Linked DNA regions of Tamandua tetradactyla. The protein of the gene in region 1 interacts with the protein of each later gene in a pairwise test. Links are inferred from orthologs where the notes say so. Each region holds a gene or a part of one and is shown in the gene's direction. Other genes may lie near its edges.

Region 1 (3,750 bases):
ACCATCTCTCTACTTCTGGATATATTTCAAAATTTATAAAATAAAAAATCTTTTTTAAGTACTTGAACTCAATAACAGTTTTCTATTTGAAAACAGATGGATTTCTTGTTTGCTCCAAACTATCACAGAAATTCTTTCCTTCAGTTTCACTTGTCATTTAATTTTCTGATGCGCTGTATAAACACAAGCTGGAAGGCTTGACTAAATAAGGAGACTACGCCACTGAGGGAAGCAATATTATGAATCTCAGCACAATATTATGAATCTCAGCAACTTTGCAGGAACAAAAATCACAACAAACAGTAACAATAACATCATTCTTTTGCACTGTTAAGTTCGTATGTGTTAACTACTTAATGGCTAACTCACGCCAGATTTTGTGCTCCATGACAACTTTTTACCCACAGGATCTTAGTGCCTAACATATTACCTAGTATATGGTATGCTTATGGAGGTATCCAAAGATAATTTCTCAGTTGAATTAGCATACACATATACATAAATATATGCATGCATATAAATATACTGGCAACATGGTTACCATAAATATGGCTTTTTTAGTATTCTACCTTGTCTTTTTAACACATGACACAAGATTTATGTAATTTCAAGTAACATATAGTATTCTTTAGTACTAATACACCATTCTCTGCTAAACCATTCAAGAAAATTATTTAAAGATCAGAGAGCATCTTGTGCTGGTTTTAAACTGTTATGTACCTAGAAAAGGCTATGTGTTTTTTTTCTTAACATGTACAGGCACCAGGAATCGAACACGGCATGGCAGGCAAGAACTCTGCCTGCTGAGCCACCATGAAGGCCATGTTCTTTTAATCTATTCTTGTGCGTGAAGACCTGTTGTGAGTAGGACCTTTTAATTAGGTTGTTTCAATTGAGATGTGACCCCTCCAATTCAAGGTGGATCTTAATCCTTTACTGGAGTCCTTTATGAGAGAGCTCAGAGATAGAAACACTGAGAGAGAGAGCTTAGAGAGAAATGCCCTGTAGATGCTAAAACAGGAACCACAGAAGCTCACAGAGGAGGCCACTGGAACAAATGCTGAAGGCAGTGAAACTGGGGAGCCCAGCAGCTGCTGGCCGTGTGTCTTCCTATGTGACAGAGGTGTCCCAGATACCAGCAGCCTTTCTTTGGAGTCCAGTTATCATCCGGTTGGTGCCTTAATTTGGATATTTTTCTTATGGTCTAAGAACTGTATAAGTTATAAATCTCCATTATAAAAGTCAACCTATTTCATGTATATTGCATTCTGGCACCTTTAGCAAACCAAAACACATCACATTCTTTGAGCCATTGTGATGAATTAATTCAATTCAGATTCCTCTGAAGATCTCTCCTACCCCCAAGATTCTTTTATTTTATGACAAAATCATAATCTAGAAGCTTGCTTCTCACACCTGAGAAGACTATTTTGGACATGACCCTGTAAAACACAAGAGGTAAGCCTGATGAATTTGAACACAAGGGGTCTAGAGAACGAAGAGATTGAGTGCTCTTGGGTGATGCTAGTACTATTGGAAGATTAGTTTAAAGCAAAATGATTCAAGAGGAAATGAATCCATTTAGAGTGGGGAGAATGATGAGAAAAGGTAGATGGTACCTACCATGAAGCTTCTTTGGGAAGTAGACATGTATATAAAAAAATGAGAGTTGTGGTTTTGTCAAGAACACATTCCTGAAGACCTTGCAAAACTTAAAAACTGCATAATCCAAACCTCCATAATCTCATGGAAATAAATGAAAAACAAGAGTGAGTATTTTCAGAGCTCATAAATCTATAACTATTGTGACAAGATATTGCTTTAATATTACTTCTTATTTATCATTATTATCACCAAAGTTTTCAGAGTTCTGGATCTAATCTCAGAGCATGATACATCAAGGGAGTTGTTTAAAGTACTTCATGGTATTTTATTGTGTCTAACTCATGTTCCAAAGTTATTGTTTTGCAGGTGTATTTTCCCAGCAGTGGCAGCACCATTTAATGAGTGCTTGTATGCAATTGTTCCATGGTAAAAAAAAAAAAAAAAAGATTTAAAAATTATAACAAAAGCAAAACATAGCACAGTTACACAATAAACAAAATCACTAGCAGAACTTCCTGTCAACATAGTTCACAGGATTAATAAAAGATGGCAGATTTTTTAAAAACAGTTAATGCTGCCAAGTTAAAAGAGTATATACAGTTTATAATTCATAAGTGTAAAACCATGTTTTTTTACTAGAGATTCTTTAATTTGGCCAACTTATACTATTTCACATTTTGCTTATAAGACCTCATATTTTATGTCACACTATTCCTAAGTTTGCAGCTACACTGAAGCCATATAAATGTGGCTTCATGGGTAAGGAAAGAGGAAGACAAAGATAAATGAAAGACAAATGGATTAATCCAGAAGTGATCCTTCCACTCTTAGAACTCTATGAGTTCTTTGCAAATAATTTGCAACATCTATACCATTGTTTTGAACTGATTTTCACAGCTATCCATATGTTTTTTGGGGGGAAGTGATCTCAAGCACATTGCCATAATCATCCCTTCTCTCCTGCATCATCTGTTTCTCCTGCTCTACTGGATCATTCTTGTAAGTAGTCAATAGCCTGGTTATAAATGTTCAACATTAGGCTCTACAGTGGGAAAAAAAGCCCTACATTGTAGCAGTCACCTATTTCCATGGTGTAAATACACTCTTCCGGCCAACTGCAAGATACCAACAGGACACCACCAAACAAAGAGTTTGGAAGAGTTGTGCACAACTGGCACTTGCAGAGGGGGATTGAGCCAGCTCCAGTATACCCACGAAAGTGCTTTTTATTCAGGTCACAACCCATTAGTGGGTCTTGTAAACAATTAAGTGGATTATGAGCAGCATTTCTTTTTTTTTTTTTTTTTTTTTTTCAGATCTTCTTCCCAACTGCAGCTGGGAAGGGAGGGCTTTTTTTTTTTTTTTTTTTTTTAATTTTTATTTTTATTTTTTTTATTAACGGAAAGAAAAAAAAAAGAAATTAACACAACATTTAGAAATCATACCATTCTACATATGCACTCAGTAATTCTTAACATCATCACATAGATGCATGATCATTGTTTCTTAGTACATTTGCATCGGTTTAGAGGAACTAGCAACACAACAGAAAAAGATATAAAATGTTAATATAAAGAAAAGAAATAAAAGTAGTAGTAATAGTAAAAAACAACAACAAACAAACCAACAAGCAAACAAAAACAAAAAAAACCCTATAGCTAAGATGCAGCTTCATTCAGTATTTTAACATGATTACTTTACAATTAGGTATTATTGTGCTGTCCATTTTTGAGTTTTTGTATCTAGTCCTGTTGCACAGTCTGTATCCCTTCAGCTTCAATTACCCATTGTCTTACCCTGTTTCTAACTCCTGCTGAACTCTGTTACCAATGACATATTTCAAGTTTATTCTCGAATGTCCGTTCACATCAGTGGGACCATACAGTATTTGTCCTTTAGTTTTTGGCTGGATTCACTCAGCATAATATTCTCTAGGTCCATCCATGTTATTACATGGTTCATAAGTTTATCTTGTCTTAAAGCTGCATAATATTCCATCGTATGTATATACCACAGTTTGTTTAGCCACTCTTCTGTTGATGGAGATTTTGGCTGTTTCCATCTCTTTGCAATTGTAAATAACGCTGCTATAAACATTGGTGTGCAAATGTCCGTTTGTGTCTTTGCCCTTAAGTCCTTTGAGTA
Region 2 (3,750 bases), on another chromosome or scaffold:
CATTTCTTGCGGCTGCCAATCCTCAGTCCTTCCTCAGACAGGAAGGACTTATCGAAATTGCCCAGTTCTTGAAAACTTAAAAAATACAGATAAAATGAATTATCAGCCTAGCCCCAGGCCCTTCCCTCCCTCTCCCACCCACCCCAAGAGTTAACATCTTGATGCTTGTCATTCCTTCCTGTTTGTGTTCTTCAATTCTTTTTTATTTTAAACAGAAGCTGAAAGGTGCAGTAGCCACTGTATTCTAGCCTCCTGTTTGTTTCTACATGTCCTTTTCAAGTACTTCCATGTTCATCCTCCAATGCTCAGCCTCCAGAGAGATGCACCATGAATTTATAGCCTGTACACTGCACACACCCTGAGGGACAGATGCCATGTTTCCAGTTTTCCAATTATAAACAATACTGTGATGAATGTTCTGCTTTCCCAACTTTCCATCCAGATTGGTGGCCAGGGTCACCAACTGCTCCCAGGTCAGGCTTTGTCCTGAAAACACTGTGTGCACACAAATGTAAGTGGCCTCAGAAAGTGGGAATAATTTTTACTTAACTAGTTCGATGTGGTTGATGAGGAAAGGGGAGCTGTAGACCAGGCTAGTAGGGTCTCCATCAAAGGCAAGGTGGGGTACAGATAGACAGGACCCTGAGTTGTGTAAGGTCAGCCAGGCGTGGGGTAGATGGAGAGAGGGGACATCCCTGCTGGCTGCTGCCTGTCCTCTCCTCCAACTCTGCCCGGCTACTGTGGCAGTTAAATCTGTCCAGGGGGAGATCTCAGGTTCTGGGTGGAGTCTGACCCTATGAGGCCCTAGGCACCTGGGAAGGCAGGCACAGGCCCACCAGCTCAATATCCCCAGCAAGGCGCCAGTGCGAAGAGCGGGTGAGGGCTGGGGGAAACAGATAGATCTCTAGGCGGGCCTGGTGGTTGATAAGCGCAGAAGGCAGACCGACAGTCAGGACCTGCCCTACTATGTCTCTAACCCCAGGGGTCTGCTCCGCACGCCCCACCCGTGGCAGACCTGCGCTCTTCTCTCCCCATATGTCGGAAGCCCCTCCCGGTGAATATTTGCCGAACTCGTAGTGGACACGGAGGGACCCTCCTATCTGCCCAGAACTGCGGGAGACCCACGCTAAGGCAGGCCTCGACTCCTACCCAGCCCCTCCATGCCCGCCTCCACCTCATGGTCTCATTGGTTCGCATTTCTCTGCGGCCTCAGCTCCTGCCCCGCCCTTCATTTTCAAAGATTCATTGGTGCTCATCCTCTCAGGCCCCGCCCTCCGCCTGCGCACTGCCCACCCCTAACCGACCTCACTTCTTTCGCCTCACCGCCTAGTTTGACTCAGTAATCATCCCCTTCACGCGCAGGCCCTCTCACGTAGGCCTTTTCGCGCCTCACAGACCTCTCTCCTCTCTGAAGACCCGCCTCCAAATCTTCTTCTATAGGGTCGCCGCCAGGCCCACACACCCCGCCTCTCACCAACCTAGTCGGCCCCTGAAAGGGTCCTCTCCTCTACTGGACGTGCCCGGCCCCTCCCCTCCGAGCCTTCCGTACCAGAAGCTCAGACTCCTCCCTCAAGGCCCCGCCTCCTCAAGGCCCCGCCTCCTCAATGGAAAGCCCCGCCTCTCGGGCAGCGGTCTCCGCCAGTTCTTCGTGGGTCCCGCCCCTCCCAGATCGTCCCTGGGCGGTGACGGAAACTGGCTTGGCTGTTCCAGGCTCCGCCCCCCGAAGTCTCACTTCCTGGAGCCTGCGCGCCCCGCCTCGCCCCGGAGGTAGAAAGGCTACCATGGAGAGGCAGGTGAGGGCTCGGCCCGCGGTTCCCACGGTCCCTACCGCCCGGGCCGGGCCTGACCCCGCTGTGTCCCCTGCGCAGGTGCTGCTGAGCGAGCCCGAGGAGGCGGCGGCGCTGTACCGGGGTCTTAGTCGTCAGCCCGCGCTGAGCGCCGCCTGCCTGGGCCCAGAGGTCACCACACAGTACGGGGGCCGCTACAGGACGGTGCACACTGGTGTGTGTGTTGTGTGTGTAGGGGGATCGGGGTGGCGGGCACACTCCGGGTCCGTGCCCTCGGGTGGACAGGGCAGGGGTGTGGAGAGCTCACCACCTGACAGTGCACGCGAGTGTGTGGAGGAAGACGAAGCTTGGTGGGCATGGGGGTGGGGTGGGTGTTACTGCCCTGTGCTCACAGGTGTATGGGGACACTGTGCCAGGCCATTACAGAATGGTTCCCATGAGTGCATGAAGGTGGGGCACCAGAATGTACATAGGGTGGGGGAATAAAACTCATGCCTGGGTGCAGGATATAGGCCTTGTAGGGCTGCCTCCCCTACCAGTACACATGGGACATGAGTGAACCAGGGGCATCCACTGGGAAACTAGGCCACCCTCAGGATTCCAGGATAGGTGCTGGGGGCAATAGAGGTTTCTTTTCTATAGGTCATCAGCTCAGAGTTTGGAGATCTAGACTTGGGCTGTGGCATAGTGTTTTCCAGCCTGCACCCACGGTGTCCGGAGACATATGTGGGGTGGTCGGGCTGGGCCTTCCTGGGTGGAACCTGTGGCCAAGACTGACCAAGTCAAGTTGAGCAGCCTCAGACCTCCCCTCACAGAGTGGACCCAGAGGGACCTGGAACGCATGGAGAATATTCGATTCTGCCGCCAGTACCTCGTGTTCCACGATGGGGACTCAGTGGTGTTTGCGGGGCCTGCAGGCAACAGCGTGGAGACCCGGGGGGAGTAAGTGCAAGGGAGGAAGCTTGGGAGCAAGGCCATAGCCTTGCAAGCCTTTTATGAATGCCTCCCATGTGCCTGGGTGTGGGCAAAAGGTGCAGAAGCAGAAGGGGGCCCAAAGCAGGTTCCGGCCCCCAGGGAGTTGTGCAGCTTCTGGTGACATGGCCTGATAAGCGCTGGAGGCTCGCTCCAAACCCAGAGCTGGACTAGAGCCCACAAGGGGGGAGGTTGGGGAAAGGAAAGTCCCTCTCCCGTGGGACCAGCGGTGCCACAGAGGCTGGTATGGGTCCAAAGCCTCAAGTATCTTGTTTGAAAGGTTGTGGCCAGCAAGGGGGCTGGGTGGAGCTATTGGTGAGTAGGAGTTGATCCCAACCTGCTACCCTGGGTCCTCAGGCTCCTGAGCAGAGAGTCTCCATCAGGTGCCATGAAAGCTGTGCTGCGCAAGGCTGGGGGCACAGGCCCTGGAGAGGAGAAGCAGTTCCTGGAGGTGAGTCTTCCTGGTACCAAGGAGGGAAATTCAAGCAACTGGGGGCTCAATCCCAAAGATAGGGGCTCCACTGAGGTGTGGAGCAGCCTGACACTGTAATGTCCTCAGATCTGGGAGAGAAACCGGAAGCTCAAGAGCTTCAACTTGTCAGCGCTGGAAAAACATGGGCCCGTGTATGAGGATGGTGAGGCAACTGGCTGGTGAGCAGGCAGGGTGGGCCAGAGGGGTAGCCGTAGCCCAGGGCTCCTCCTGATTGGTCCTTCCTGCACCCAGACTGCTTTGGCTGCTTGTCATGGTCACACTCGGAGACACACTTGCTGTATGTGGCAGAGAAGAAGCGCCCCAAGACTGAGTCCTTCTTTCAGACTAAAGCCTTGGATGTCAGTGCCGGTGATGATGAGATGACCAGGTTGAAGAAGCCAGACCAGGCCATCAAGGTGCTCATAGCCGGCCAGTCTGTGCAGGCCCTACGGGACAGCCTTGGGGCTCAGCGTACTCCCTGTTCAAGCTGCACTTCTCAGAACTGGGGGTGCACTAGCT

The links. The genes of interacting proteins can lie anywhere in the genome.
Region 2: the proteins of LGALS8 (region 1) and APEH interact in binary tests that used the Homo sapiens proteins (3 or more experiments, as listed by UniProt). The two-hybrid records come from large-scale screens. The link is inferred for Tamandua tetradactyla from reciprocal best matches to the Homo sapiens genes LGALS8 and APEH.

Annotation. Positions count from the first base shown.
Region 1 is NC_135333.1:7,145,898-7,149,647, forward strand, and holds the start of LGALS8 (galectin-8), read left to right. Parts: upstream 1-1,380; 5' UTR 1,381-1,458; intron 1,459-2,502; exon of another isoform or gene 2,503-2,604; intron 2,605-3,750.
Region 2 is NC_135341.1:36,493,522-36,497,271, reverse strand, and holds the start of APEH (acylamino-acid-releasing enzyme), read left to right. Parts: upstream 1-1,605; 5' UTR 1,606-1,781; coding exon 1,782-1,793; intron 1,794-1,868; coding exon 1,869-2,001; intron 2,002-2,602; coding exon 2,603-2,729; intron 2,730-3,116; coding exon 3,117-3,210; intron 3,211-3,318; coding exon 3,319-3,394; intron 3,395-3,483; coding exon 3,484-3,647; intron 3,648-3,750. UniProt on the Homo sapiens protein: This enzyme catalyzes the hydrolysis of the N-terminal peptide bond of an N-acetylated peptide to generate an N-acetylated amino acid and a peptide with a free N-terminus. It preferentially cleaves off Ac-Ala, Ac-Met and Ac-Ser.